7 linked regions of the Coturnix japonica genome follow. The protein of the gene in region 6 purifies or fractionates together with the protein of the main gene of each other region. This does not show direct contact. Links are inferred from orthologs where the notes say so. Each region holds a gene or a part of one and is shown on either strand. Other genes may lie near its edges.

Region 1 (3,500 bases), on a different chromosome or scaffold from region 6:
TAAGAGTTCAATAGAATGAAGTCACTGGGACACTGGGGACATTCTAAAATGAAAGCTTATGGATGGAATCATAGAGGATGGACCACAGGATAACAGAACAAATATGGATGGAATTTGAAAGAAAACTGGGAGGGAAGAGGCAAAGAATGAAGTCAAAGTAGTAATCTGATGTTTCTCTACATTCTTTTAATGTTTTTAGATTTACAAAGAATGATATCAAAGTTGAGTTCCTTAAGAATAACTAACATCAAGAAAATGGAAAAGAACAGTGAGACAGTCTTCACAATCCACTCCACTGTGCTACACTGCTGTCACCACCCACATTTTTCTCCTGAGAACAAAATAACACCAATTGAATAAGAACACAGGCTCAGAAAATTGAATATTTGAGTATTAAAAACCTGTCTTTGACCAGGGAAAGGCTGGAAAGCTGAGCAGGGTCAGAAGGAAGATCCTCAATTCTGTTTCCCAAGAATATCTTCCTTATTGGTAAAAATAAATAAGTAAATAAATATCTTCCCAGATTTCAGGGTTTTAACTATTTCTTGCTATCTTGCTGTCATTCTGAATCATAAAGCCAGTGTAAATTTCTCTCTATATAGATATCAAACAAGAATTCCATCTCTTCTTTGCCAACATAAAACTAAGTATCTCATTTTGTATTGATAAGAGTCAATACAAATTTGCTCTGATACAGGCCACCTTTTTTTTCTCACAAAAAATGTTTCGAATAAGACTTAAAATGCTACAAATTCTTCACTGCAAGTGTAAATTTCACACTGTGATCATACTAAGAAAGACACCATCAAGAGAAGCAATTTCATGTTACAATGAGAGACTGAAAGCACGTGAATTTGTCATTTGAAACGTGCGATGAAAACAACAATTTACAGCTGTATAATTTGTGCATGCGCACACACACAGGGCTGTAAATGTTCATTTACTCAACCAAAACTGAGTATGTCCCTATGACAGATTCCAAACCAACACAGTAAAGAGCCACTGATTAGAAGTGGAAACACTAACAAAAAAGACAGCAATCTGAATATTCAGGTATCTACCTGTTTATTTCACTGTTGTGTCATTTCCTTCTGCAAAAGCACATTTGTTCTATTTCTGCGAGTCTATTAAAACTAGAAACATTTAGACAATCTGCACATGACAAGTGATACTGGATATCAACCAACAACTCAGATTTACAGCACGCAAGTAAAAAAACACCCAACACATCTCCTTACCACTTGTTGTGCAATGTTGACATTAGACCGTCCAAATGTTTTTGGCAGGAGCTGTTTTCCGATTGTATTTACTGTAGAGGGATGAACAGCCAATAGAGAAACAACTCCTAAAAACAAATAGAAGCAGAAATCTTCATGTCAGCCACATTGTATTATTTTAGCAATTCCAGTTTCTTAAATATTACCAAAGCCTACTAACAGAAATGAGAGAACCTACATAAATGCAGCATTCATGCTCTCGAAGCACTAAGAAATTAAGATTCCTACTATATTTTTCTCACCTTCCTTCTGTGTAATCAGCTCGGTGACATAGAATGAGCATGATTTAACTCACTATGGTCCACTTATTCTCTCAAAGCACAGTGGTAGAGCTAACAGGTATATGATAGAAGGCATACCCCCTCCTCTTCAACCCCCTTTTCTTAGTGGCTACCGAAGTCTTCTCTCTAACCACTCAAAATCCATGCCCCATTGGAATGCACTGCCCAGGGAGGTGGTGGGGTCACTGACCATGGGAGTGTTCAAGAAACGTTTGGATGTTGTGTTGATGAATATGATTTAGCTGGGAAGTATTGGTAATGGTTGGACTAGATGATCTTCTAGGTCTTTTCCAACCTTGATAATTCTGTGATTCTGTGATTATTTTATGAGAGCCGCTCCAAAAGTAATGCTCCATATGTTATGACATTGGTCCACAACGTCAGAGGCAGATGATGGTGGTACGGCAATAGAGGCTGAACCTTTGACCAATATCCCATTACATGTTGTTGCTGTGTGATGGATGGCAGCAGAGGGGCGCTCTGACACAATGGTGGATGAAGCAAAGGTGTGTCACTGAACTCCTCCATGTGGAAATAAGAGTACACTCTGACATTCATTGACAGTTGCTGACCACTGTGATGGAAACCAAATAGTGGACGTGAGCAGTGAGGTGCTGAGTGGTGAGTTTCAGCAGTGGCAACAGCAGGTCTCTGTCAGTGCGGACTGTTACAAGCATGGCATGCAGGCTCTTGTTCATTGCCTGTTATGCCTTCCTGTTTCTTCAGTGTTCCTTCGAGCACAGCCACCACTACTCCAGCTCCGAGTGCCTGTGTATCTTCTGCTCAGCTTCCTGCCAACGTGCCTTTATTTAAACCTTCTCATTGCTTGCAAAAACAAGAAAGCTAACTGGAGGTTCCATTCCCAGTATAAGAGTTGTAACTTCTTTCTCAAGTTAAGACTCCTTGTCAACTCATCTCTAATTGTACAGAGCCCTCTCCTTACCTCTGGCAATTCTTACTGCACGTACACCATTGAGCTCTCCTGTTTGAGACTTGTTCTCACAGGGGACAGGGACACACCACTCATGAAGAAGGCACACCATATGTTACTGTACAAATCCACGGCACATTTTCTATTTTATTCTCTGTTGATTTCTAAATAACTCTTAAAATTTAATTTGCTTGTTCCCCAACAGACACTAATTTTATGTTTTCATCATGTAACTTACAAGGACTTTATTAAACTTTCTGAGTGGTAACAGTTCACTTGGGGTCCTCATTTTATCTAGTTTGGCTTTCATCAATTATTAACCCATGCGAGGACTGTCCCATTCCCTGACACCTCAGGTGCTTTAACAGGCTGATTAAAGCCCTTGATAACTTTCTTATTTTCTAGACCACTGCTTTCAACAAAACCAAGGGCATCACACTGATTAGATAACCCTTATCCAAATGCTTGTTGATTCTTTCAAAGCATGACTTTGAACAAAGACGCAACTTCCTAACTTCCCTTTTCCCCTCCTTGTGGAAAAGCATTAGTTCCTGCTCATTATCACATTTATCTATGTGTTTACTAATTATTTTTACATGTTATAATTATATTGGGGTAACACAACAGAAGTACCTTCATTAAGTACTTTTAGAATTCAGAGGTAAATATTTCCTGGTAAATTGCTAATGTGGTTAGAGTACTGAATTATGTGATGTATAAGGAGAAGCTGAGGGAGCTTGATACATTCAGCCTGGAGATGGTTAAGGCAAGAGATGTGTGTTTGTAGTGATATAAGTGTCACCTCAGAATACCAAATAGGTAGTTACAGAGATGCACAGCAAAAGAGAGGCAGCTGTCCCCAGAAGCTGCACAGAGAATTCCAACTAGATACCAGGGATAAAACATTCACAATGAAAATGGTAAGCACAGGAACAGGTTGCCTAGGAAGTTCCCTGGAGTTATATAAAAATTTCAGTTACTCAAGGCCCCATTCTTTCAAGTTGCCCCTGC
Region 2 (4,077 bases), on a different chromosome or scaffold from region 6:
CTGCCTTCAAACAGGGCTACTTCAGCTCAGTAAAAGCTTCAGGAAAAGCAGAAAGCCAGTTCAGAGCAAGCAACAGGAGCAGAAGATGGGAGTACAACCAACCCCCAGCAGTGGGAGGCCACCTGACATAGTCTGGTGCAGATCACTCCAGCTTAGAGCAAAATCCATATCAGTATTAACACAGATGAGTCTTTCACTATGCGGACTATGCAGTGTTTAGGCATGGTGTAAGAGAAGGGGAAGCATGAAAGAGGGAGGACCAGTGCCAACATCAAGAAAGAAGCAAGAAGTGCTCATGGGATCAAAGGGATGTGTAGCTACATTTTTTCTAAGTCTCCCAAATACAAGGGATAGTAATACTTAGAACAAAAGGTAAGTTGCAAATGAAAAACTACAAAAACTGGCAGGAAATCTCTGTATCTGGAACTCATGATGGAGCAAATCATGGCCCAAAGGCATGAACATTACCCAAGGCCAGGCAGCAACATCTTGTGGCTTGTGAAAGGGAATGATACATGGGCTGGAAAGGCTGGGGAGCTGCTAGTCTTCATCTAGATCTGGAATGTGAGAAACATGAACCTCTGACATTGTGTTGCTGTGTGACCTATCATCAACCAAGAGGTTATTCTGATGTCTCCTTCCCATACAAGACAAACTCATGTTTTCTGATATTATAAAGCTAGCAAGATGACTCATGGGCCGTACTGAGAACTCCATGCTGCTTTAAAGACTTTGTGAGTGATAAACTAAACTACTCAAGACAAACCCTAGAAGCAAACTTTCTAGAAACCTTTATCCACTTCTCTGGGAGGTCCTACCGCTAATAAAGATAAAACCAAGAGTTTACCTCCCAGACACTTGTAATGAATCCTAAAACTGCAGCACACAAATTCTTTTGGACATCAAGTTTTTCTAACCAGGTGTGAAGGTAGGCACCACTGCTACAGTACAAGGAGGGATCAGAAGCAAGAAAGAATTTGCTGTAGAAACAGAAACTAACAGCCCTCTGTAGCTTGTCTTGTTTCATTTCCCATGCAATATTCTTCCAGCAGGCAGGAGGGAAATGAATTCAAGCAGCTTAGAGCAATTGCTTCTTAAAATCTAAAATAAAAAAGACATATGAGGTATTGGCGTCTCCGAGTCCGAAATCCCACAGCACTCTCCACACTTTCAGTTCACCTGTAGTCAGCAGATACTCAGCCTGAAAGCAGTTAGTTACAGCTTCTTCTGAGAAGTTGAACCGTTCACAGTGTTCAGTGACAGACCATTTGAGCTGGGCTGCACACAGTGGAATAAGCAAAACAAACAGCTGTGATATGTAATCTGAACAATTAAACTTGCATAATAAGCTGCTCAAAACGATAGCTCTACAGCCAGCGTGGAGTGTGCTTCTAACTCACAGGATTAGCCAGGCCCTGTTTTCTAATATGTGCTCCCAGTTAGACTTTAGGAGTGCTTTGCTACATGCATACATTTGTTGGTTAATGCAAATCTGTTCAAGGCACACAGTGACATCATTCCTAGTCACACACACCAGTTGGATGCTTTAGGGAACAAAACAAGATGGCTAATGCATTTGGTGAGGGGATTCCTCTGCCAGAGAAAACACTCAGCTGACAACTCATTGTTCTTCTCGCATCCACTAATCCAGAAAGCTACTGTGAAAAAGGTAGCCACACATCGAAGGCTTTGCTGCTACTACCAGGTTTATGTAAACACTGCAAAGTGCACCAAGAGCGATTCTGCCACATTCACCATTCGCTGTAATATCCGCACAGCGGTTCAGAAAGGACAGAGCCGTGAAGGCTCACATCGCCGCCCGCCCCTCCTCGATCGCACATCTCCATCCTGGAGCATTTCCCAGGCACGAGTTATGTCCTGACAGGAGATCCCATACGCTTCGGAACCCAAAGCCCTCATACAGAACGTTACGTAATTAGCACACGATGTGCCGACGAGCCCCGGCCAGAAATAATTAACACCGCGCTCCGATCGCCAGCGCGGGCGACGCCGGGACCCCCGCGGCAGGTGCCGGAGTCGGAGCGGAGCGGGGTCAGGTACCGGCCTCGCACCTGAAGCCGCGCCGCTCCCTGGTCCCCGGTGCCGGCATCCCGCACACAAAGGGCGGCCTCGCTCCGGGAGCTCGGGGTTCTCCTTCCCCGTTCCGCAACCGGGCGCCGCGGTTCCTCCAGGCCCCTCCGCTCGCAGGCCCGGCCCGAGCCCCGCGGCCCCTCCGCGAGCGCCTCGTTCCCCCGCCGCCCTCTCCGCTCCGTTCCGTTCCCCCCCGGGGCCTCCCCACGGCGGTGGCGGCGCGGGGGCGGCCGGGAGCCGCGGGCCCTATTTCGAAAGATCCGCCATTTTCACCCCGTCACCGCCGCGGTTCCGCCCGCCCCCGCCGCACCTGCCCCCTCCACCCGTCCTCCCGCTCCGCTCCGAGCGGCCGCCTCCCGTCTCGGCGGGGAGCAGAGCGCGGCGCAGCCCCGAGTGTGTCCGGGCCTGCGGCCTGCATCCTGCCGCCGGCTGTCAGCGCCCCGCCGCTCCCGGCCGCCGCTCTCTTCCCTCCCGCCGCCGCTTTCCCGCCCCTCGGCACTCACCGTGCGGGCGGGCGCTCCGCTGCCTCCACCGCCGCCTCCTCTATTGTGGCTCCGCGCCGCTCTCCGTGTCCGCGCCCGGCGGCGGCGGCACAGCACTGCCCGCCAGGAGCCGCCGCGTTTGTTCAAAATCACGCGCCCCGCGCCGTTCCCCCGCCGCATCCCATAATACTGCGCCGCGGCGCCCTGGCAACCGCCGGCGCAGCGCTTACCCACCCGCCCGCTTCCCCGAGCTTCCGGTTCCGCCCCCCCTCTCGCCGTGCTGCCGCTCTATCCCGCCGGCGCCGCCGCTCTATGGTAGGAGACAAGATGGCGGCGGCGGTGCGGCAGGAGCTGGCGCAGCTGATGAACTCGAGCGGCTCCCACAAGGACTTGGCGGGGAAGTGAGTGCCGGCCGATGCTCCCTTGGCGGTGGGGCGGGGGGGTGCGGGCTGCGGACGCTGCCGGGCTACGGGGGAGCGGCTCTGATGGCTGCGGCCCGAGGACCACGCTTCTGAAGCGTTACTTTTAATAAAAAAGAAGAAAATTCAAAGAGATCGGCCTCATACACTTACTCATACACTTTGCCACTTACAGCTTGGGTTTAATGTCTGGGGAAGGCCTTAGGGCCGCCTCGTGGTCCCTGCGGCCCTGGCCCCGCTGTGGTGATGGGCCCTGTGCTGCTGTGGGCACCGTGAAACCTCCCTTAACGTTTATTGTTTTGATATGGCGTGTTTGGCTGCTCACGGTGCAATGTGTCGCACAGTTTGTTTGTTTTTTCCCTTCCTCGAGGGCAGTGTCTGATTCTGATGGAACTGGTATTCCTCGAGTCCCAGTTCTTAGTTCTCTGGAGGAACGTCTTTGCTTTGAGAGCTCCTGGTTAAAATAAGAAAGCTGCGAAGGTGATCGTGTTCAGTCTGTCTTTTGAGGGGAACATCGAAAGAAGTTTTTATTCCATTTCAGTACTCTGCACCCTGAGGTCATGGTCTGCAGTTGTCCTGGGTTTTACAAAGCATGAAAACTAGGATCGCTTATGGGGAGTAGCTGAGAGAAGTGGTATTGTTGAGTCTGGAGAAGGCTCAGGGGAAACTTTATCTGTCTCTACAACTGCCTGAGAAGAGGTTGCAGTGAAGCAGGGGTTGGCCTCTTCTGACAGCGATAGTATGAGAGTTAATGGCCTTAAGATGCACCAGGTGAGGTTCAGATTGGATATCAGGTAACTTTATTTCTCCAAAAGAGCAGTGAGGCGTTGGTCGCTGTCTCTGGAGGTGCTCAAGAGTCATGAGGGATGTTATTTGCAGGGATGGGTTGGGGTTAGGCTTGTACTGAGTGATCTTAAGAGGACTTTTTCTAACCTTAATGATTCTATGATTACTGTATTCACTGAATGTGGCAGCTTGAACCTTTCTCTTATTTCAGTAGTCCTCATTTACAGAGGATGTCATTTTATTTACTCTTTCCCTGGCACCTTTGTATGGTAAAAGAGAACTCTATCCTGGATTCACTT
Region 3 (3,947 bases), on a different chromosome or scaffold from region 6:
GTCTAAAAACTATTACAGAAGATACACATTGATAGAATCATGTTCAGAACTATTTTAATCTACTCAGTCACTACAATTGCTAAGTCATAAAAACCCTGCAGTTCACAGACATATTTAAAAGAAACCAGTTAATAATTCACTTGGTAAGAATTCTGCCCATTAGTTAAGGAGTTCAGGTAAGTATGGAGAAGAAAAAGCAGGGGTAGAAGATGCAGTTAGTGCTGCAACATGCAGGAAGAACTGGGGCCATATAAGTGAAGAGATTGGAATATAGTGCCAAAGGCTTTGCTGAAGTCTAGGTAGACTGTGCCAACAGCCTTTCCCTCATCCACCGGGCAGTTCACCTGGTGAGGGCAGGGATGCTAATGCTGCTGTGATGGTGGGAGAGGGATCAAAGGACGAATCAGGAAAATAAATGGGGCTGAGCCGGACAGGTCACGGCTGCGAAGAGTGTAATGGATAAGCGAGGCCTCGGCTTGTGAAGGAACGCGGCGGTGGGTTAAAATAAGAATAAGACATGACAAGTGCTGATGTGGCTGGCGTTACGGCGGGACGAGCCGTGCCGCGGGCTGCACTCGGGATAACACCATCTTCAGAACTGAAGGGAGAGCAGGAAATCCGAGCTGCTCCTCGGCCCGGCGGAGCCACCGCCGCGGGCCCCTCCAGCCCAACAGCAAACAGAGCTGCCCGGCCCCACTCACCACGGAGGAGGAGGAGACGGCGGCCGAAGCGATCCAGGGAGCCCCGGCTGTCCGCGGCAGCTGGATGTGGACACAGAGCAGCCCGGTTACACGGTGCTCCCCTCCTCCTCCACACCCCCCACCTCCTCCCCACCGCCCCCCGAGGTGCCACCCGCGGCCCCTCCCGCAGCGCTGTGTCCGTGTGCCGCCTCACCCTGAGCACCACGCGCCGCCCGCCCCAAGCGCCACGAGCCACCGCCGCCATCCCGGCCGAGGGTCACAGCGCTCGGACCCCGAGCGGAGCCCCCAGCACAGGGACCCGCCCCCGCCCGCTCATTGGCCAGACGAGCGCCCCCCCCGCCCGCTGTACGCCCCCCCCGAGGGGGCCTTGCCGGCCGCCAGCCAATCGCTGCCAGGGAGAGCGTCGCCCCGCCCCTTTCCCGCCACCGCCCCCCCATCCGGGGCAGCGATTGGCCACGAGCACTAAGGCGCTCGGGCTCTGTTGTCACGTGGGTGGATTCCCGCGGGCTGTGGGTTTAGGTCACGTGACGCAGGCAAGATGGCGGCTCCCGGTGACGGTAAGGCGCGCGAATGGGGTCATCGTCACCCTGCGGTACGGTCTGAGCGGGCGCCGCTTCACCTCCGTTCTACTCCCTGTGCTGTAGGTGCCGATCTGGAAGCCTCTCTGCTGAGCTTCGAGAAGCTCGACCGGGCTTCTCCGGACCTGTGGCCTGAGCAGTGTGAGTGAGTGCGGCGGGCCCGTGTCGCTGGGGTGATGGCGGGGCTGCCGGGCCGGCCCCGCGCTCACCCGGCGCTGTTCGGTTCTCTCTTGCAGTGCCCGGCGTCGCCGAGTTCGCCGCCTCCTTCAAAAGCGTAAGATGCCAACACCACGGCACTGCGGGTCATACAGGCACTGCGGGAGGGACGAGCTGCGCAGGAACGCGCTGCTCTAAGCCCTGGGGGTGCTGCTCTTACTGCTGGCTTTGGCTGTGACTTGCAGTAACACCCAACTCGTCCAGGAAGAGCTTTCTAGGCATTAGAGTAGCCCTGTAGGGTGCCTGGAGCCATCGCGTTTATTCTTTCAGTGTAACTGGTTGTAAATAGGTGACGGAGCACTGGAACAGGCTGCACAGGGAGGTGGTGGAGTCTCCTTCTTTGGAGATATTCAAGACCCGCCTGGACACCTACCTGTGTGACATGGTGTAGGGAGCCTGCTTTGGCAGGGGGGTTGGACTCGATGATCTCTAGAGGTCCCTTCCAACCCCTACAATTCTGTGTGTGTAAATGCTATATCAGGCTTTGTATGCAGCTAAAAATGTACTTCTCTGAGAATGTTTTGCTTTTTTTTCTTCCTTTCTTTTTGTTCTTTTTCTTTTTCCTCCCCCCCAAACCAGCCTATTACAAGCTCGCCTCCCAAATGGATGGCTGAACTGGAGAATGATGATATCGATATGTTAAAGGGTGAGTATGGGCTCCATGGGCACTGAGGCTGTCTGCGGGTGGGAATTCAGTGCCTACTAAAAAGATGAGCTCAGAGACCTTCTGAAGCCTTGTGGAAAGGAAGGGATGGGGGATGCTCCTCTTAATCTGCAGACCATCTTAACCTGCAGAACATCTCCAGTTGAATGATTCTGCTTAGGAGTCTTTGTCTTGTCAATTGCCTCTATCTTTAGTTGGTCCCACAAGAATATATACTGATAACAAAAATGCTGTTGTTCTCCTTGTTACTGCTTTTTGAAGCAGTAAATCCCTGCTGTTTATTTTTTCTTCATTTTTTTTGATTGCTTTGGAACAGTTAGAATGTCTTGCTGGTTATTATGAGTTGTGAGAGCTGAAGAACATATGCTGTACACTGTAAACCGATACTGTTCAAAGTATAACTTGAATGCTCTGTGAAGCGATAAACATAAGCTGCCACTAGAGGGCTACAGTGTTAAAAATCACGCTTTTTCCTTTTAGAGCTGGGAAGCCTCACTACAGCCAACCTGATGGAAAAGGTTCGTGGCCTGCAGAATTTGGCATATCAGCTGGGACTGGATGAATGTGAGTTCTGTGCACAGATGTGATGACTGTATTATGAATCTTGCCACTGAAGTGTGTGTTTATGTTGCACTTACAGTCAGAAAAGTACGTTTGCTGAAGTGGGGAATGTCACACAATTATGACAGTGCAATAGAGAATTTTCTGAAGAAAAAAAGAGTGCTGCTCTAAGCAAGTCTATCATGGATGCAGTGGAGCCTAATAGAGCACATTTAAAAGAATTTCTTATTTTAGGTCTTGTTTTCTGTTTTGAATGCTAAGGTCCAGTGTTTTCTAGTGGCCCATCAATTTCTGACTTAACTTTGGCTTAGGTAAATCACTCAGTTTGCTTCATTTACCGCTTAGGTGCTAACACTCTGTCACAGAGTATCTGTGCCACCACTTCTGTGACTGTGCGTTTGTGTACTGCCTACAGAGTGAAAATGTAACTGGTGTGCAGGATTCTGTTAGCCATTAGTGCTCTTGTAACTTTGGGCTTCTGCAGTTATTTATTTTCCATAGTCAGCTATAGCAGGAGGTGCTGTCACTGCATTCTAAAGTTGACCTTCATCCTGCTTACCAACAACCAATTTATGTCAGTGCCTTTTTTGAAGGGGGGTGGGGGTGGGAGTGGGGGTGGGGATGGGGGGAAGATGCGTTTTTTTTATTGTCATTGCATATAGGATTTTGTTGTTAATGTGCTGATCCGGCTTTGAAGATTCCAAAGGGATTGTGCTTCCTTTAAACAGTATCTGTGTGTACTGATGCATTTAACTTTTACTGCTTTATTTTGCTCTGTCTTAGACTTCAGTTTTAGCAAACTCTTGAGCTTTACATGAGGCTTTGAAAATTTTTAGGCTCAAAGATTTTTTTCAGCTTTATTTCAGTGGGTAACAAAAAGCAGTTGAACTTTGAAGTCTCGTGATTGTGAGCCTGGAATACATATTTCTTATCAATAGATCATTAAGCCTGTTTGAACACTCTCTCCATAGGTAGAAATTTACTTTCAGTGCCAACATCTACAAGGATTGAATAAAGCTTTTAGTGGAGTAGAAGTTATACTTTAACAATGGAAATCTTAATCAAATAATAAGATTGGCTGGTGGTTTGCTTTCTCGATTTATATAACGTCTCACTGTATTTGCAATTTATTTTCACCAAAGTCTATCTCTGTAACACATTGAGTGCTTTGTGTGTCATGACGTATACATGTATGTTAGGAAATCTTCCATATATAATTAAATGCTG
Region 4 (4,043 bases), on a different chromosome or scaffold from region 6:
TTCATGTGCCAGTCTGACCAATGAGCTGCTCTTCAGTCTCAGCCAGGAAAGAGGAGATTCCACATGAAAACACGTTTCCTGGTGAGCTATCCTGTCTTTCTCACCTCTGTATCACACCACGTGCCCTTGTGCTCATTATTTGACTTCACTGTATCTCAAACATCACCTACAAAAAACAGCATTAGCCTTTGGTCCAGTCCAGGCCCATGCTTAACTGGTAATCCCCACCAGTTATTTTAATAGCTGAGCACTCTGTTCAGCTGATCAGCCTCCTCCACACAAGGAACACTGATCCAGAAGCTGAGGTCTGCACTGCAGAGGCTCCTCAAGGCCAGAGGCTCCCAGCAGCTCTCCAATAAGGCTGCAGCCACTCTGACCTGCCTCAGAAATGCTGCAGTCCACAGCATGCTCTGCTGCTTCTTGACACCCCTACACAGCACTGCCTCCCTCTGCACATTGTGAGGCCCCAGGCAGAGTCAAAGCAAGACTGAACAACTGGGTGTTGTTAGCACCATTGTTTATTTCCAGAGGGAGCAAGTCCCTGGGAAGAAGCACCCGCTGCTCCCATTGTGCAGCAATGGCAGTACAAACAGCCACACAGGGTTGGCCAGCTCCAAATGCAAATCAACCCAAAGCACATCGCCCATGACAGCACATCATCTTCATCCTAGAAGCAAGGAGGAGCCACCATCCCCTGCAGAAAGCCAGATGAGGAGACACATGGGAACCTTAACAAGAGCCATTCCCAAGGACAGCCAGCATGAAATCCAACAGCCTTCAAAGTCTGTTTCCAATGCATGATACGCGTGCTGCTTGAAGGTGAATCAGCTTCCTATGCTTGTGGAGCCCAGGTCTTGCTGAGTGCTCTTGCTGTCAGTTCTCCACCCATCCCTCATTTGCCTTTCCACAGGGATTCCAGAACTTGTATCCGACATTATAGCCAGCAGTTAACTCAATTTATTACAATACAGATCTAACCTGGGAATAGAAGGAAAAAATTCACCCCTACACGCTACGGCCTTGCAGAGGATTTTTTCCACCCCTCCAACTTCGTAGTTCCCTCCTCTTCTTTTATAACAAGATGTAAAACATAAAATAAAAAGAGCAGAACAATCCTTCACGATAAGATTAAGGTCCTTGATGTGTGACTTTGTTTCAGCATGCCCAAGAACTGTCGTGCTTTCTCCTGCATGAAGAGTTGGTCTCGGGTTCCACCACAGGCCACCGCTTTCCAAGCCCTGGTCATCTATGAAAGGAAAAGAAAGAATATGTACAACACAGTCCAGGGAAAGGAGGGTGCTGAGGGTTAGTGAGACAAACACAATGTTGACATACTGTTTTAAAACAACGTGCATAAATAAAAACTATCTGCTCCCCAGGAAAAATAAAAACCTATAGCTTGGGGGGTTATGTTCAGCAGTTTCCCATTGCAGAACCACTCATAGGCTTCTTAAGGGCTTTCCCCAACTTGTCTTGGGACCAAAAGCCCAGAGAACAAGCCCACTAAGCTTCACTGGGCTGAACAGAGCCTGGAAGGATCAAAGGAATTCAACGGCAGCTTCCAGGTTTATTGCCAACCAGCTCAACTCCTATGGAAGCTGCTCAGCCCCAGACCTTGAAGGGTTGGATTGGTCAGAAAGACCATCCATCCTTAGTAGCAATTTGGTGCCTGTAGCTTCAACAGGGCCTCACACAGCACAGGAAGAGCTGGAAAATAAAAATCAGCTGTGCTTCAGTCACTGTGTAAAGCAAGAGCCCCCATGACATGCTTTGCTATGCTAGGAAAACCCTCTGCATAACCTCTGATAAATGCAGCAAAACAATATATACTGCCCTCAACTGGAAGTAACCGTTTATGTGTAGGGCAAAGAACTGGAGTTTGATGAGTGGTATTTGCTAACAGCAATGCCCCGTGCAGACACAGCATGGTTTTGGGGATAATTTAGGTTCAGCTCACAGCTAAGTGAGCTTCCTTAATCTATAGCTGCCACTGTTGGCAGCACAAGTCTGGTACAACAAATCCCAAGAACCCAGCAACACCACAGGCAGCTCTGCTGTCTTTGGGCAAGGGGATTTCTCAGAACACCTGTACTCTGTCATCACACAAGCTGCCTTACTGCCACCCTCAAGTCACTTCCAGAGCTTTATTTATATGGATCTATTAGCACTCAGAGCAATACAGCTCTACCTAGGACAGGAGGAGAAATTGAAGTGTTTAAGTGGGGTCTATTTTGAGAAGGGGAAGGAATTACACTGGCAGGAAAGTACTTATTTGTCAGAAAGAGCTTTCACAACAGACAGCTCTAATCCAGAGACAGATGCTCTGTTTATCTGAAGACAGAGCCAAGGCTGCACTGTGAAGACTGCACCTGGGCCCTTCCTAACATCTGAAAACATCTCTGTGCTTGCCCCCAGCTGTGGTTTCACTCCTCACCAAGGAAAACGTGTATTTTCATCCTACCAGAGAGTTTCCACGACTCAGCCCAGACTAACACCTGCAAAAACCATACCCTTCTCCAAGGCACCCCACCAAATGAAGCAGGGATCCAATTCTTTTAATGCGCTACTGTCTGAAACTACATCAACTGGTGAAGAGTTTACAAAGAACACAACCATTTATGTCCCAAAGGTTAAATAACTCTAAGGTCAACAGCCCTTAAAAGCACCAGTCTCAGCACATGTTATGAGTTATGCTTGAAAGACAAGTAAACATCATCTGCTGGAGCTCAGTAATGCCACTGTTCAGGTAAATGGCAGGACAAAGGCAGCCCATGCTGTCTGTGGCACACAGATTTTACCACAACCTAGAAATATCCCTCAAAGGGGTGAGAAATGCCTTTTTGGTACTTATATTGTGCCTTGTAGAGTTGTTACAGTCAGAGAAACAAAAAAGATTAACCTACTGCTGTCCATCCAAGGAGTGATTCCTGAAAAAGTAGTTTACTTCAGTGCTGGGTTAGTCTAAATCCCTTGATGGGCTGAGACAGGACACAGATTCCCAGGAAGAAATCCAGGGCCCTGGGTGCAGGCCACAGCTCTGATGAGCCATGGGGATTTGAGTTCCAGCAGAAGGGCAGGTTTGCAAAGAAAGTGGAGGGAGCTGCAGTAATGACACTGCTAGTTCAGCATCTCCAAACCTGGGTACCAAGACAGCTCTGACAGCATACAGATATCCACACAGGAGCATACTATGTTCCTCTTGAACTCACCACCATAATTCTCCTCCTGAAGAACAGGGGCAGCACTATAAGCTGACCTGCTGATGGAAGGGAGCAGCTGCAGGGCTTACCGGTGCTGGAGGTCTGAAATGGCTTGGCATTTTCCTGTAGGACATTTTCTCTGACTGCACTTGCACAAAGGCTCTGTTGAGCAAACCAGAGTCATTCTTCCTGTTTGAGGAGGAAAGGTTCAAGGATCTTGACAGGAAATTCAAAGGCTGCAAAACGGAAGAAAATTATATAAAGAAAAAAGTTGATTTGCACTAACAGTGCTGATACTTGTCATGGCCAAAAGGTCAACTAACAAATCCCAGCAATTCATCCACACATTATAAGGCAGTCGTAAGTGGCAAAGTCAACACTGCTTTGCACTAGATTTCTTTGGAGATCTTACTAACCAAAACAGCCTTGCAAAGAAAAAGAACATATAGCTATAAGATAAGAAATAAGTAACTGCCAGAACACAGCCTTTGTCTTCTGAGATGAAGAAGACCCCTTCTCACCCCTGCAGCCAGCCAAGGAAACCTCTAAGGATGGGAACACATAAGGCTCCTCCCCATCCCACAGGTAGAAAAGCAGCTGGGTAGTAAGTCAAACCACAAAGGAATTCACAACTCCTTCTGCAGGCAGCTTTTTCACAAGAATTTCTGTTCATCCAGAGCCTTTAATCTTCAGTCCGTGACTCAACCTACAGCCCCTACACCATTCTTGAACTCTGGATCCCACAGCCCTTGATTGCTAGTGTTAAAACAAAACCTATTTCTGCTGTTTTGAAGGGCTAAAGGTCCCATACTTGCTAAAGACAGAAAATGAAAGCAGTAGTGG
Region 5 (3,500 bases), on a different chromosome or scaffold from region 6:
GGGGGCTGCGGGGGGAGGTGGGGGCGGGCGGTACCTGCTGCAGCTCGATCAGCTGCGGGATGGCTCCCACCATCTGGATGGCGATCTTCACCACGTCCTTGGGAGGCGGCATGGTGGCTCCCCGCCGCACCGCGCCGCAGTTCCGGGTCTCAGCCGCCACCTCCCCGCCCCTGGGAGGGCCGGGCCGGGCCGAGAGGCCGTCGGGGAGGGAGCCCCGAGTGGGGCCGGAGCGGGGCGGGCACGGCCGTCCTCCTCACCTGAGCTGACGCAGGTGGGGCGGCTCCATCCCGTCCCGTCCCATCCCGCCCCGTCCATCCAGTCCCATCCGTTCCCCCGGTCCCATCCCGTCCCATCCTACCTGCTCCACCCTGTCCCATCCCATCCATTCCTATTCCATCCATTCCTGCCCTTTCCCATCCCATCCCATGCATTCCCATCCCATCCATCTCATCCCACCTATTCCCATCCCATCCCTATGAACAGCACAGCCTCTGGAAAGGGTTCTTTTATTCACTCAACAACTGTACAAATATTACAGGCAATTTTCATTTCCTTTGCAAATAAAAACAAAACAACCCCAAAGTATAAAAATAATCTTTATATAGGAATCAAAGTTCATCAGTTCATCTTCTCTACAGCTTTTTTTTTTTTTTTTCCTCCTTTTTCTTTGTTTTTTTTTATCTCTCCAGAGCTGTGGCAAACATTAATGTGCTGGGGGGGGGGGGGGATGAAGGTGAGGGGTGGCAGAGGAAGGAAGGGCTGCTGGAGCACTCGTGTGTCTCCATCCCACCCACTGCCTTCACCTAAAAAGGGATGGAGGCTGGAGGCTGTCCATTCCTATTGAATTCATTGTGTTTTTCCTATCCTACGGGGTACTGCTGTGTCCCCAGGAGGCAGAAAGGAGCAGGTCTGTTGGAGGAGTCCCACAAAGGATAAAAAAGCACCGGGGAGATGCTTTGGAAAGAAGGGACTCAAGCATGTGGCCTTCTCACCTCTGCAGGTGCTGAGAGTTGGGTACATCCCATTTGTAGCCCATCACTGCTGGTGCTGGCTGTGAGCTGCAGCTCTGGCAGTTTACAGGGCAGGAAAGGCTCCATGGGACGGCTGGGTTGGCAGGAAGATGTGCAAAACTGATAGGCAAATCAGACCCAAAAGCAACGTTGGGGGGACGGTTTGCAAAGTACAATAAATCCAGGAGGGTTTTTTCTCCAACAAGAGCAAAGAAAAGAAATGCATGGGCTCCATTGGCTGCTCATCCAAAAGAAAGACAAAAAAACACTGCAAAGCCACCTCAACACACCTGCTAAAAAGCAACGCTGGGACAAGAAAGATGCAGAAAGGCATCGCATCGTGCAGCAACCTGCCATGGGATCAGGGAGCACAGCATGAACATCCATCTCTGTAGGAAGGCCGACCCTGAGCACATGGTAAGGAGGAACAGAAGTGGGAGGGTTAGAGGGGGGGAACAAAACACTATTTTGACAACACCTGTGGAACTCATCGTGGCAAAGCACTACTGCACCATTCCTGCTTGGTGGCCTTTACAACAGTTGAAGGCTCAAGTGCAACGCTGGAGAACAGCTAGATGCTAACACAAGGTGTCTGATGTACTTGAATACCTTCAAGGCATCAGCTGGAGCAGTCTTAACCTTTTCAAGCAACTCATTAGTAAGAAAACATTAATACTGGCACCCTTCTTCAGCCCTGTAGGAACAGCACAGTGTTGGGCTGTGCGTCAGGTGGGCCAACACCAGGGGACAACCAGCATTCCTGCTCAGCTCCCGGGTCCTATTGGGAGGGGCAGCCAACAGAGAAAAGTGCTTTGTCTTGTAAAACGTACTGGCTTGGATTGGAGTCACTGGAACAAATGGAACCTCTGGTGCCATTGGTTTTTGCTTTTTGTTGATGTCACTCTGGGATATAAGCACCCACACTGAAACTACCTCCAGGCTTGTGAACTGGCCATGCTGTCAGGGCTCCGTGTAGCAGCTGGTACCTAGGAGGTGCAAAGTGCCTCTAGGAGTGCAGGAAAACCAAGGCATGCAGATTTGAGGAAGCCTGGAGAGGCACCTGGGCAAACTCAACAAATCACAGACCCACTGAAGCCATGCCCAGAATCCAGTGAAGAGAGAGATGCAGCAAGGCGAGGTCAGTCCTTGCACGTGCAAGACGGGAGGAGAAAGAAGTGACGGGGAGGCTCCCGGCCTCCGAGTCCACATCTCTTGCTTCTGAGTTCATGTGAGAGTTTCTCTGATTCGAGCTCTAGCACAAAAGGAATCCAAAAATAGACACTTTCCAAAGAGTTACAAAAGGGTCTGTGTGTGCGAGGCTCACAGCCGCGCCGAGGAGTCAGAGGTTAAGGACAGGCACATCGAAGAGGTCACAGACACCTTCGCTCTCATCCAGGTTGTAGATGTAGTCGTGATCTCCAGGAGGGGGGGAGAGGCGGAGCAAGGGAGCAAACACTAGAAGAGAAAAGCCAGCAGTTGGTTCCAAGGCTCAGCACTCCCACAGCCTGGAGCTGAGCCGTGGGGCCTCGTAGCCTGAGATCCTTGAGATTGCTTTTCATCAGCCTTGAAGCACTGAAGAGGCTCATCTGCTCCTCGTGCATCACTCACTGCCTGGCACAACAGTGAGAACTATGCCCTGAGCCCAGAACAATGAGGGCAAGGCTGCAAATGCAAGGCTGCCACCTGTAGGAAGGCACACAGGACCAGTCTTCTCCCCCAGAAAGGCCACACCACGAGGGGAAAACTCTTGAGACTCACCTTCAGATGACATCAGCTCCTCCAGCAGCTCAGAGTTCATACATTCTAGGGAAGAGACAAACACAGTAAGCAATGCACTCTGACTTCTGCTCTGTGTTTGTGTGTAGTTTCCCAACCTTCCCAGTTTTTCTTGTTCCCCCCTTTTTGGGTTAAGGCAAGGTGGGTGCAGGCAGTGGCAGCAGGAAGCTCAGCCTCCTGCCCTGGGCAGAGGGAGCCACGTGTGTTGGGCCATTCAGGCAGCACCAAACCATTCTGCAGGAGGTTCCTTCCTGCTCAGCCCAGCCACAAGCCCAGTGCTCTCACATGAAGGGTGATGCCTTATCCCTGCAGTGCTGTGTTAGCTGCAGTCCCAAAGGAAACTCCCCCACATGCATCTGAAACTGAGGTGGTAAAGCCAGATGCACTCCTCAGTTACACACACTCACTTTAGAGCGGGGAGGAGAAAGAGAAACAAGCTGTTCCAGGAGCAGCAGAACTAATCAGTCTCCAGTTTCATTCATATTTGTCCTCTTCGTCCCTCCTCATTGGATCCCTTCACTCCACAGCTGTGATATGCCATGGGAGGTTGGCCAGCTGCCCACCAGCAAACATCTGAGCTCTGTATATCCTTCCCTAATGGGCCATTAACTGCTCTCTGCTCCACTGCCCACACAAGGCTACAAGCAGAAATTATCTCTGAAACATCGTTCCTTCCTCCAGTGATGTTGAACTTGGCCAACAGGACCACGAAGC
Region 6 (4,016 bases):
ATAGATCACTTGTGGGTCACATATAGGGCAGTTATGGGGTCAAGAGCTCACTTAGGGGGCAGTTATGGGGAATACAGAGCATTTATGGGGCAGCTATGGGGTGTCTATGGGGCAACTATGGGGTGTCTATGGGGCAGCTATGGGGCTTCTATGGGGTATCTATGGGGCAGCTATGAGGTGTCTATGGGGCAGCTATGGGGCATCAATGGGGTCTCTATGGGGCAGCTATGGGGCAGCTATGGGGTGTCTATGGGGCAGCTATGGGGCACTATGGGGCTCTCACCTCCTCCTCAGCAGCGCCGCCGTTCTCTCTTGCAGCCCCTATGGGACAGAAGCGATGTAGAATGGGGGGGCTCCGGGCCCCATAGCGCCCCATAGAGCCCCATATATCCCCATAGCGCCCCATAGAGCCCCATATATCCCCATAGCGCCCCCATAGAGACCCATAGCGCCCCATAGAGCCCCATAGCGCCCCATAGCGCCCCATAGCACCCCATGGAGCCCCCTAGCGCCCCATAGAGCCCCATAGCGCCCCATAGGGCCCCATAGCGCCCCATATCGCCCCATATAACCCCATAGAACCCCATAGAACCCCATAGAGCCCCCTAGCGCCCCCTAGCGCCCCATAGGGCCCCATAGCGCCCCCATAGAGACCCATAGCGCCCCATAGAGCCCCATAGCGCCCCATAGCGCGCCATAGCACCCCATAGAGCCCCATAGCGCCCCATAGCGCCCCATAGCACCCCATAGGGCCCCATAGCGCCCCATATAACCCCATAGAGCCCCATATAACCCCATAGAACCCCATACAGCCCCATAGCGCCCCATAAGGCCCCATAGAGACCGATAGAGACCCATAGAGACCCATAGCGCCCCCCACCTCCATCCGACTCCTATGGGGGGCGCAGCCAAAATGGCGCCCGCCCCAACATGGCGCCCGCGCCCCGCCCTCCCAGGGGATGAGACGCGTGTTGATTGGTTGTCGGTTGTGATGGACGCGGCGTGCGGCCAATGGGAAGGCGGAGTGAGTGGCGGGACGGTTGAAAGAGAAAGCTCCGCCTTCTTGTGTGGAGATGAGAGCGGTGATTGGTTGGGATGAAGAGATGGACGCGGTGAGCAGCCAATGGAAAGGCGCAATGTGTTACGCCCCGCCTTCTAAACAACAGCTCGTGCTTCGATTGGCTAAAAGGTAAAACGGACGTGATCACAGACCAATGGGTAAAGGGCAGCGATGTCCCGCCCTCTGAACGCGGACTCTGGTGCTGATTGGCTGTCAGCCGGACGGACGGGGCAAGCGACCAATGAGAGAGCGAGGAGACGAGCTGAGGAGGCGGCGCGCGAGGCGGGAGACGCGGCGGGAGGGAGGTGAAAAATGGGGGAAAATGGGGAAAAAACGGGCAAAAATGGGGGAAAATGGGGAAAAACGGGCAAAAATGGGGGAAAAGAGGCAAAAATGGGGGTTTTGGGGGGTTTAATGGAGTTTTATGGGGCTCTATGGGGTTTAATGGGGTTCTATGGGGTTTAATAGGGCTCTATGGGGCTCTATGGGGTTCTGTGGGGTTCTATGGGGTTTAATAGGGTTCTATGGGTCTCTATGGGGTTCTATGGGGTTTAATAAGGTTCTATGGGGCTCTATAGGGTTCTATGGGTCTCTATGGGATTCTATAGGGCTCTATGGGGTTCTGTGGGGTTTAATAGAGTTCTGTGGGGTTTAATAGGTCTCTATGGGGCTTTATAGGTCTCTATGGGGTTTAATAGGGCTCTATGGGTCTCTATGGGGTTCTATGGGTCTCTATGGGGTTCTATGGGTCTCTATGGGGTTCTATGGGGCTCTATGGGGTTCTATGGGGCTCTATGGGGCTTAATAGGGTTCTATGGAACTCTATGGGGTTCTATGGGTCTCTATGGGATTCTATAGGGCTCTATGGGGTTCTGTGGGGTTTAATAGGGCTCTATGGGGTTTAATAGGGCTCTGTGGGGCTCTATAGAGTTCTATGGGGTTCTATGGGTTTCTATGGGGTTGAATAGGGCTCTATGGGGTCTCTATGGGGCTCTATGGGGTCTAATAGGGTTCTATGGGGCTCTATGGCGTTTAATAGGGCTCTATGGGTCTCTATGGGGTTCTATGGGGTTCTGTGGGGTCTCTGTGAGGCTCTATGGGGTTTAATAGGATTCTATGGGGCTCTATGGGGTTTAATAGGGTTCTATGGGTCTCTATGGGGTTCTATGGGTCTCTATGAAGCTCTATAGGGTTCTATGGGGTCTCTATGGGGTCTCTATGGGGCTCTATGAGGCTCTATGGGGTCTCTATGGGGCTCTATGGGGCTCTATGGGGTTCTATGGGGCTCTATGGGGTTCTATGGGGCTCTATGGGATTCTGTGGGGCTCTATGGGATTCTGTGGGGCTCTATGGGGTTCTATTGGGCTCTATATGGTTCTGTGGGGCTCTATAGGGCTCTATGGGGTTTAATAGGGCTCTATGGGGTTCTATGGGGTTTAATAGGTCTCTATGGGTCTCTATGGGGTTCTATGGGGTTCTATGGGTCTCTATGGGGTTCTATAGGGCTCTATGGGGTTCTGTGGGGTTTAATAGAGTTCTATGGGGCTTTATAGGTCTCTATGGGGTTTAATAGGGCTCTATGGGGCTCTATGGGGCTCTATGGGGTTCTGTGGTGGCTCTATGGGGTTATATGGGGTTCTGTGGGGCTCTATAGGGTTCTATGGGGCTCTATAGGGTTCTATGGGGTCTCTATGGGGTCTCTATGAGGCTCTATGGGGTCTCTATGAGGCTCTATGGGGTCCCTATGGGTCCCAATGGGTCTATATGGGTCTCTATGGGTCCCTAATGGTCCTTATATGTCTCTATGTGTTTCTATGGGGTTTTTAGGTCCCATCCCCCACACGCCGCCATGTTGTCCCTGAAGGTGAAGGTGGAGAAACCAGGTGAGTAATTAACATCGTAATTAACATCTTAATTAACATCATTAATTAACACAGACTTAATTAACACTAATTAACCCCAAGAAATCCCCCAATTTCCGCCATTTTGAGCCCAATTTCTTCCTTTTTGGGCCTAATTTCTTCCATTTTGGGCCCAATTTCCCCCATTTTGGGACCAATTTCCCCCATTTTGGGCCCAATTTCCACCTTTTTGGGTCCAATTTCCACCATTTTGGGCCCAATTTCCCCCATTTTAGGCCCAATTTCCACCATTTTGGGTCAATTTCCTTCAATTTTGGGCCCAATTTCCCCCCATTTTCGACCCAATTTCTTCCTTTTTGGTCCAATTTCCCCCATTTTGGGCCCAATTTCCCCCATTTTGGGCCCAATTTCCCCCATTTTGGGCCTAATTTCCCCCATTTTGGGCCCAATTTCCCCCATTTTGGGTCAATTTCCTCCAATTTTGGGTCCATTTCCCCCCATTTTAGGCCCAATTTCCCCCATTTTGGGCCCAATTTCCCCCATTTTGGCCCCAATTTCCTCCATTTTGGCCCCAATTTCCTCCATTTTGGGCCCAATTTCCACCATTTTGGGTCCAAATTCCTCCATTTTGGGCTCAATTTCTGCCATTTTGGGCCCATTTTTGTCAATTTTGGGTCAATTTCCCCCATTTTGGGCCCAATTTCCTCCATTTTGGGTCAATTTCCTCCAATTTTGGGCCCAAATTCCTCCATTTTTTGGCCCAATTTCTTCCTTTTTGAGCCCAATTTCTTCCATTTTGGGTCAATTTCCTTCAATTTTGGGCCTAATTTCCACCATTTTGGGCCCAAATTCCACCATTTTGGGCCCAATTTCCGCCTTTTTGGGTCCAATTTCCTCCATTTGGGGCCCATTTTTGTCAATTTTGGGTCAATTTCCCCCCATTTTGGGCCCAAATTCCTCTTTTTTGGGTCCAATTTCCTCCATTTTGGGCTCAATTTCTGCCATTTTGGGTCCATTTCCTCCATTTTTAGGCCCAATTTCCACCATTTTGGGTCAATTTCCTTCAATTTTGGGCCCAATTTCCCACATTTTGG
Region 7 (3,500 bases), on a different chromosome or scaffold from region 6:
TCTGGGAGAGCTACAGAGTAACAGAAGTCAGTTGAAGGGCTGTCAGTCTCTATTCAAGAAACAGTGACCTGTGAGATTACTCCCTAACCAGAATTGATGCATTTCAGTCTGTTGTTATAGCTTGACCAGATAGCCTCTTCTTATGCTGCAGAGAAATTCCTGTTCAGCTCCTCCACTGAAGATATTCTCTTTTCTCCTTTGCTCACCAGACACTCAGCCATTGTCACCAATCTCTGTGCATGAGCGCTACAGTTCCCCGACAGCAGGAAGTGCCAAGAGAAGACTCTTTGGAGATGACAGTCCCAAAGAAATGCAGGTGGAAAAGGTTTTAACAGAGGGAACTAAGTTGACAATTGCTCCAGCATCAAGTATTGCTGCTGAAAATGCATCCATCTCTCCTGGGCAGACAGTGCTGACTGTAACAACAGCAATGGTGGCAGGAAAAGCAGGACAGAAAGTTACTATTCCACTGCATGGTACGAGTTCCTTATGGTTTTCTTTCATATGAGATGTTTTGTTTGCTCTTAAGATCTGGCTAGATGGGCCGTAGATCTTGTATCTATTTTTCCTTCTTTAAGAGAGCATTAACAAAGCAAGCAAACAAACACAACACCAGAACTCAAGCCTTTGTATGGGTGTCTCTTTCTGTGTTTTAATCTGATATCTGACAAGAGTCTGGAGGATTCCACGTGGCAAACAAAATTGTGGAGTTCTTCCTTACTGTTAAATCTCATCACAGATTAAGCATTGGTTTGTTTTTCGGCTCTAATAGTGATTCATTCCTGCTTGCTCTGGTTTTTGTCTACTGTCTTTTTAAGACTGAAGTTACTGAATAAGGGTTGTGTAGACATTAAGCAAAATAGCAGGGGGTTGCATTTGTTTTTTGGGGGGGGTTGGCTTTCTTTGTTTTACTGGAACAGGTGCTTGACTATTTCTTACAAGGATACACAAGAAATGAGGTCTGTAGTCTTTCTGAATTTCAAAATCTGTGTCTCCATATAGGAAGATAGAATGAAAAAATCACTGCTTTTCATGTTTAAAGAGACATTCCTTAAGAGAATTTGACAGCCTCAGAAACTCATGTGGGCTGTGTGCAATAGATTGTGAGATTTGCAGAATAATATAAAAAATGAACTCAGATGCCCATTGCTCCCAGAGGAGTGTTGCACTGACAACAGAGATTGTAATTTCATGTAAACCTTGTACTTTTAAGGGAGTTCTAGAAACAATAATTCACAACCATCCTCTTCCTTTGAGCTTTACCAGAAATGTACTTTTCTGTCATTTATGAAGACTCGATCTTCTTAGTGCTCGATATAGAAGGAAGAAATATCTTGTGTATGAAATACTGGTTTAAGAGTTTGGGATTTGCAGTTCTACTGTGCGTTGTTGTTGCAGCAAGCAGTTCATTTCTTGGGTGCGTGTCATCTTCAGGTATCACAAACGAGTTGGGTGGGATCACATTGATACCCGTTTCGATGAATCTAGGTCAGACACCTAAAATAGAGGCTCAGGATCCCTGCCACCCTCAGGTGAATCAGGATCAAGAGGTGCATCTCTCTTCAAGAAACAAACCAAAGAAAACAGGATCCTTGGCGCTATTCTACAGGAAGGTAGGCATCTTTGATAGGAAGGTGGGATTTACCTCTGTGGCTGTGCTGAAGCTCTGTGCATTACATTACCTTTCAGTCCTTGGCTTGAAGAATTCTCACATTGCTGGGAGAAGGGAAAAGCCATTGTAGAGGATTCAGTAACACCGTTCATCTTCTGTCCATTCACCTTCTGTCCTCCCCCATCATGAGGTGTTTTTGTTTCTTAATTTTCAGGAGCTTCTGGAAAGAGGGAATTTCTTGAAATGATGAGGAGTTAAAGGATTAGGTTAAGAACTTGGTGCTTCAGAGAAACGTTTTTAGGGCAGGGAGATATATTCTTACTAAAGAGGTTCTCAGAGATTTTCTCCTTTATATCCTAAACTGGAGAGGGGTGGATTTGAAGACTGGACTATTTGGAGGATGAAGAACTGGTTGGATCTCCATAGCCAGAGTGTTGAATGCATCCCATTATAGTGAGTGAGGTAATACAGAAGGAATAGAATATTTTCAATCAGGTTTCCTTTAAGCATCCAGCATTTGATCTGAGTTGACAATTTAGTATTTGAAGACATTCTTGTGGGCAGGAGGAGAAAGCTTTGAGGAAGCAAAGAACTGAAACATAAAACAGCTGCACTTCAGTGATGGCTTTCACTTCTCTGGGATAGGTTAAGCTCAGTTGGCTTGATTCGTTACTGTATGTCTTTCTCTTCTAGGTTTACCACCTGGCAAGTGTGCGCTTGCGTGACCTGTGTTTAAAGTTGGATGTCTCCAATGACTTGCGCAGGAAGATCTGGACATGCTTTGAATTCACATTGGTTCATTGTGCTGATCTAATGAAGGATAGACATTTGGACCAGCTTCTCCTCTGTGCCTTTTATATCATGGCAAAGGTAACATGTAGGTTTAAGGAATGAGAGTTTTATTTCAGTTCAAAATGTAAATTGGATGGCTGACCCTGAGTCCTGTAGCAAATGAACAATTCTGATGTGTGAAAGAAAACTAAAATTGCATGTATGCATGTATAGCTGTGTGGTGGTTTGTGGAGTGCTTCCTTTTTTCTACTGAGAAAAGTTAAGACACGTAGTTTTCAAATTCACAAATACATCTGATGGAATAACACTTCCTTTTTTAATTTTTAGTATGAGTTGGAAAAGAAATAATGTCTAACTTAGGCAACAAATAGCTTTACTATCAGAAATAAAAAAGAATGTGTATTTTTGTTCATATTCCCATCATTAGACGCATCCCATCAGCATATTAATGCTCGTGAAAGATCTGTGTACAAGGAAGCTAATTGAGTACACTGCACCTGGGCAGCCTCACTGTCTTCAATGGCCTTTTCTTTTCCAGGTCACCAAAGAGGAAAGAACTTTTCAGGATATAATGAAAAGTTACAGGAATCAGCCACAAGCAAACAGCCATGTGAGTAAATGAAGGTGCCTTTCCTTTGTATAAATGTTTGACGGGGTGGTTTTCAGGTGATTCTGATGATAATGGAAAAGTCGACTTCATTGCTTTATTCATTCTTACTCAAATGGATTTCATCTCATAGTATTGCCAAGGTTGGAAAAGACCTCCAAGATCATCCAGTCCACCTACCACCAATATTTCCCACTAACCCATGTCCCTCATTACAACATCTAAACATTTCTCGAGCACCTCCTGGGACAGTGACTCCCCCACCACACTGGGCAGCCAATTCTGCTGCCTGATCATCTTCTGACTTTTCTCTTTCCCTGTTTTCCCCCCTCTGTGTCCTGTAGGTTTATAGGAGTGTCTTGTTAAGAAATAGTTCTGCCAATGTCCTTTTGGACAGAAATGCAAACCAAGATGTGCGGATGACAGAAAGTAAGTAAAGTAATCTGACACTGTTTTAAAACGTACTTGCATGTTTTTATGGAACCAAAC

The links.
Region 1: the proteins of LIN37 (region 6) and TFDP1 purify together in Homo sapiens (co-immunoprecipitation; 3 studies listed by BioGRID and IntAct, with this or other methods). This does not show direct contact. The link is inferred for Coturnix japonica from reciprocal best matches to the Homo sapiens genes LIN37 and TFDP1.
Region 2: the proteins of LIN37 (region 6) and LIN54 purify together in Homo sapiens (affinity purification with mass spectrometry; 4 studies listed by BioGRID and IntAct, counting the BioPlex papers as one, with this or other methods). This does not show direct contact. The link is inferred for Coturnix japonica from reciprocal best matches to the Homo sapiens genes LIN37 and LIN54.
Region 3: the proteins of LIN37 (region 6) and LIN52 purify together in Homo sapiens (affinity purification with mass spectrometry; 6 studies listed by BioGRID and IntAct, counting the BioPlex papers as one, with this or other methods). This does not show direct contact. The link is inferred for Coturnix japonica from reciprocal best matches to the Homo sapiens genes LIN37 and LIN52.
Region 4: the proteins of LIN37 (region 6) and MYBL2 purify together in Homo sapiens (affinity purification with mass spectrometry; 6 studies listed by BioGRID and IntAct, counting the BioPlex papers as one, with this or other methods). This does not show direct contact. The link is inferred for Coturnix japonica from reciprocal best matches to the Homo sapiens genes LIN37 and MYBL2.
Region 5: the proteins of LIN37 (region 6) and E2F4 purify together in Homo sapiens (co-immunoprecipitation; 4 studies listed by BioGRID and IntAct, with this or other methods). This does not show direct contact. The link is inferred for Coturnix japonica from reciprocal best matches to the Homo sapiens genes LIN37 and E2F4.
Region 7: the proteins of LIN37 (region 6) and RBL1 purify together in Homo sapiens (affinity purification with mass spectrometry; 3 studies listed by BioGRID and IntAct, with this or other methods). This does not show direct contact. The link is inferred for Coturnix japonica from reciprocal best matches to the Homo sapiens genes LIN37 and RBL1.

What each region holds. Positions count from the first base shown.
Region 1 is NC_029516.1:123,708,782-123,712,281, forward strand, and holds part of TFDP1 (transcription factor Dp-1), read right to left. Parts: intron 1,346-3,500; coding exon 1,239-1,345; intron 1-1,238. UniProt on the Homo sapiens protein: Can stimulate E2F-dependent transcription.
Region 2 is NC_029519.1:41,194,404-41,198,480, reverse strand, and holds the start of LIN54 (protein lin-54 homolog), read right to left. Parts: upstream 2,801-4,077; 5' UTR 2,595-2,800; intron 1-2,594. Other genes in the region: COPS4 (COP9 signalosome complex subunit 4), read left to right, coding at 2,886-2,974. UniProt on the Homo sapiens protein: Component of the DREAM complex, a multiprotein complex that can both act as a transcription activator or repressor depending on the context. In G0 phase, the complex binds to more than 800 promoters and is required for repression of E2F target genes.
Region 3 is NC_029520.1:34,237,107-34,241,053, forward strand, and holds the start of LIN52 (protein lin-52 homolog), read left to right. Parts: upstream 1-1,147; 5' UTR 1,148-1,239; coding exon 1,240-1,258; intron 1,259-1,345; coding exon 1,346-1,420; intron 1,421-1,515; coding exon 1,516-1,553; intron 1,554-2,074; coding exon 2,075-2,141; intron 2,142-2,639; coding exon 2,640-2,723; intron 2,724-3,947. Other genes in the region: ALDH6A1 (methylmalonate-semialdehyde dehydrogenase [acylating], mitochondrial), read right to left, coding at 702-761, 895-945.
Region 4 is NC_029535.1:3,093,696-3,097,738, forward strand, and holds the end of MYBL2 (myb-related protein B), read right to left. Parts: intron 3,437-4,043; coding exon 3,290-3,436; intron 1,247-3,289; coding exon 1,118-1,246; 3' UTR 501-1,117; downstream 1-500. UniProt on the Homo sapiens protein: Transcription factor involved in the regulation of cell survival, proliferation, and differentiation. Transactivates the expression of the CLU gene.
Region 5 is NC_029526.1:1,544,954-1,548,453, forward strand, and holds the end of E2F4 (transcription factor E2F4), read right to left. Parts: intron 2,814-3,500; coding exon 2,769-2,813; intron 2,466-2,768; coding exon 2,350-2,465; 3' UTR 490-2,349; downstream 1-489. Other genes in the region: ELMO3 (engulfment and cell motility protein 3), read right to left, coding at 35-112. UniProt on the Homo sapiens protein: Transcription activator that binds DNA cooperatively with DP proteins through the E2 recognition site, 5'-TTTC[CG]CGC-3' found in the promoter region of a number of genes whose products are involved in cell cycle regulation or in DNA replication.
Region 6 is NW_015439939.1:37,374-41,389, reverse strand, and holds the start of LIN37 (protein lin-37 homolog), read left to right. Parts: upstream 1-1,216; 5' UTR 1,217-1,231; coding exon 1,232-1,365; intron 1,366-2,887; coding exon 2,888-2,943; intron 2,944-4,016.
Region 7 is NC_029535.1:553,474-556,973, reverse strand, and holds part of RBL1 (retinoblastoma-like protein 1), read left to right. Parts: intron 1-209; coding exon 210-476; intron 477-1,434; coding exon 1,435-1,613; intron 1,614-2,305; coding exon 2,306-2,482; intron 2,483-2,942; coding exon 2,943-3,014; intron 3,015-3,355; coding exon 3,356-3,440; intron 3,441-3,500. UniProt on the Homo sapiens protein: Key regulator of entry into cell division. Directly involved in heterochromatin formation by maintaining overall chromatin structure and, in particular, that of constitutive heterochromatin by stabilizing histone methylation.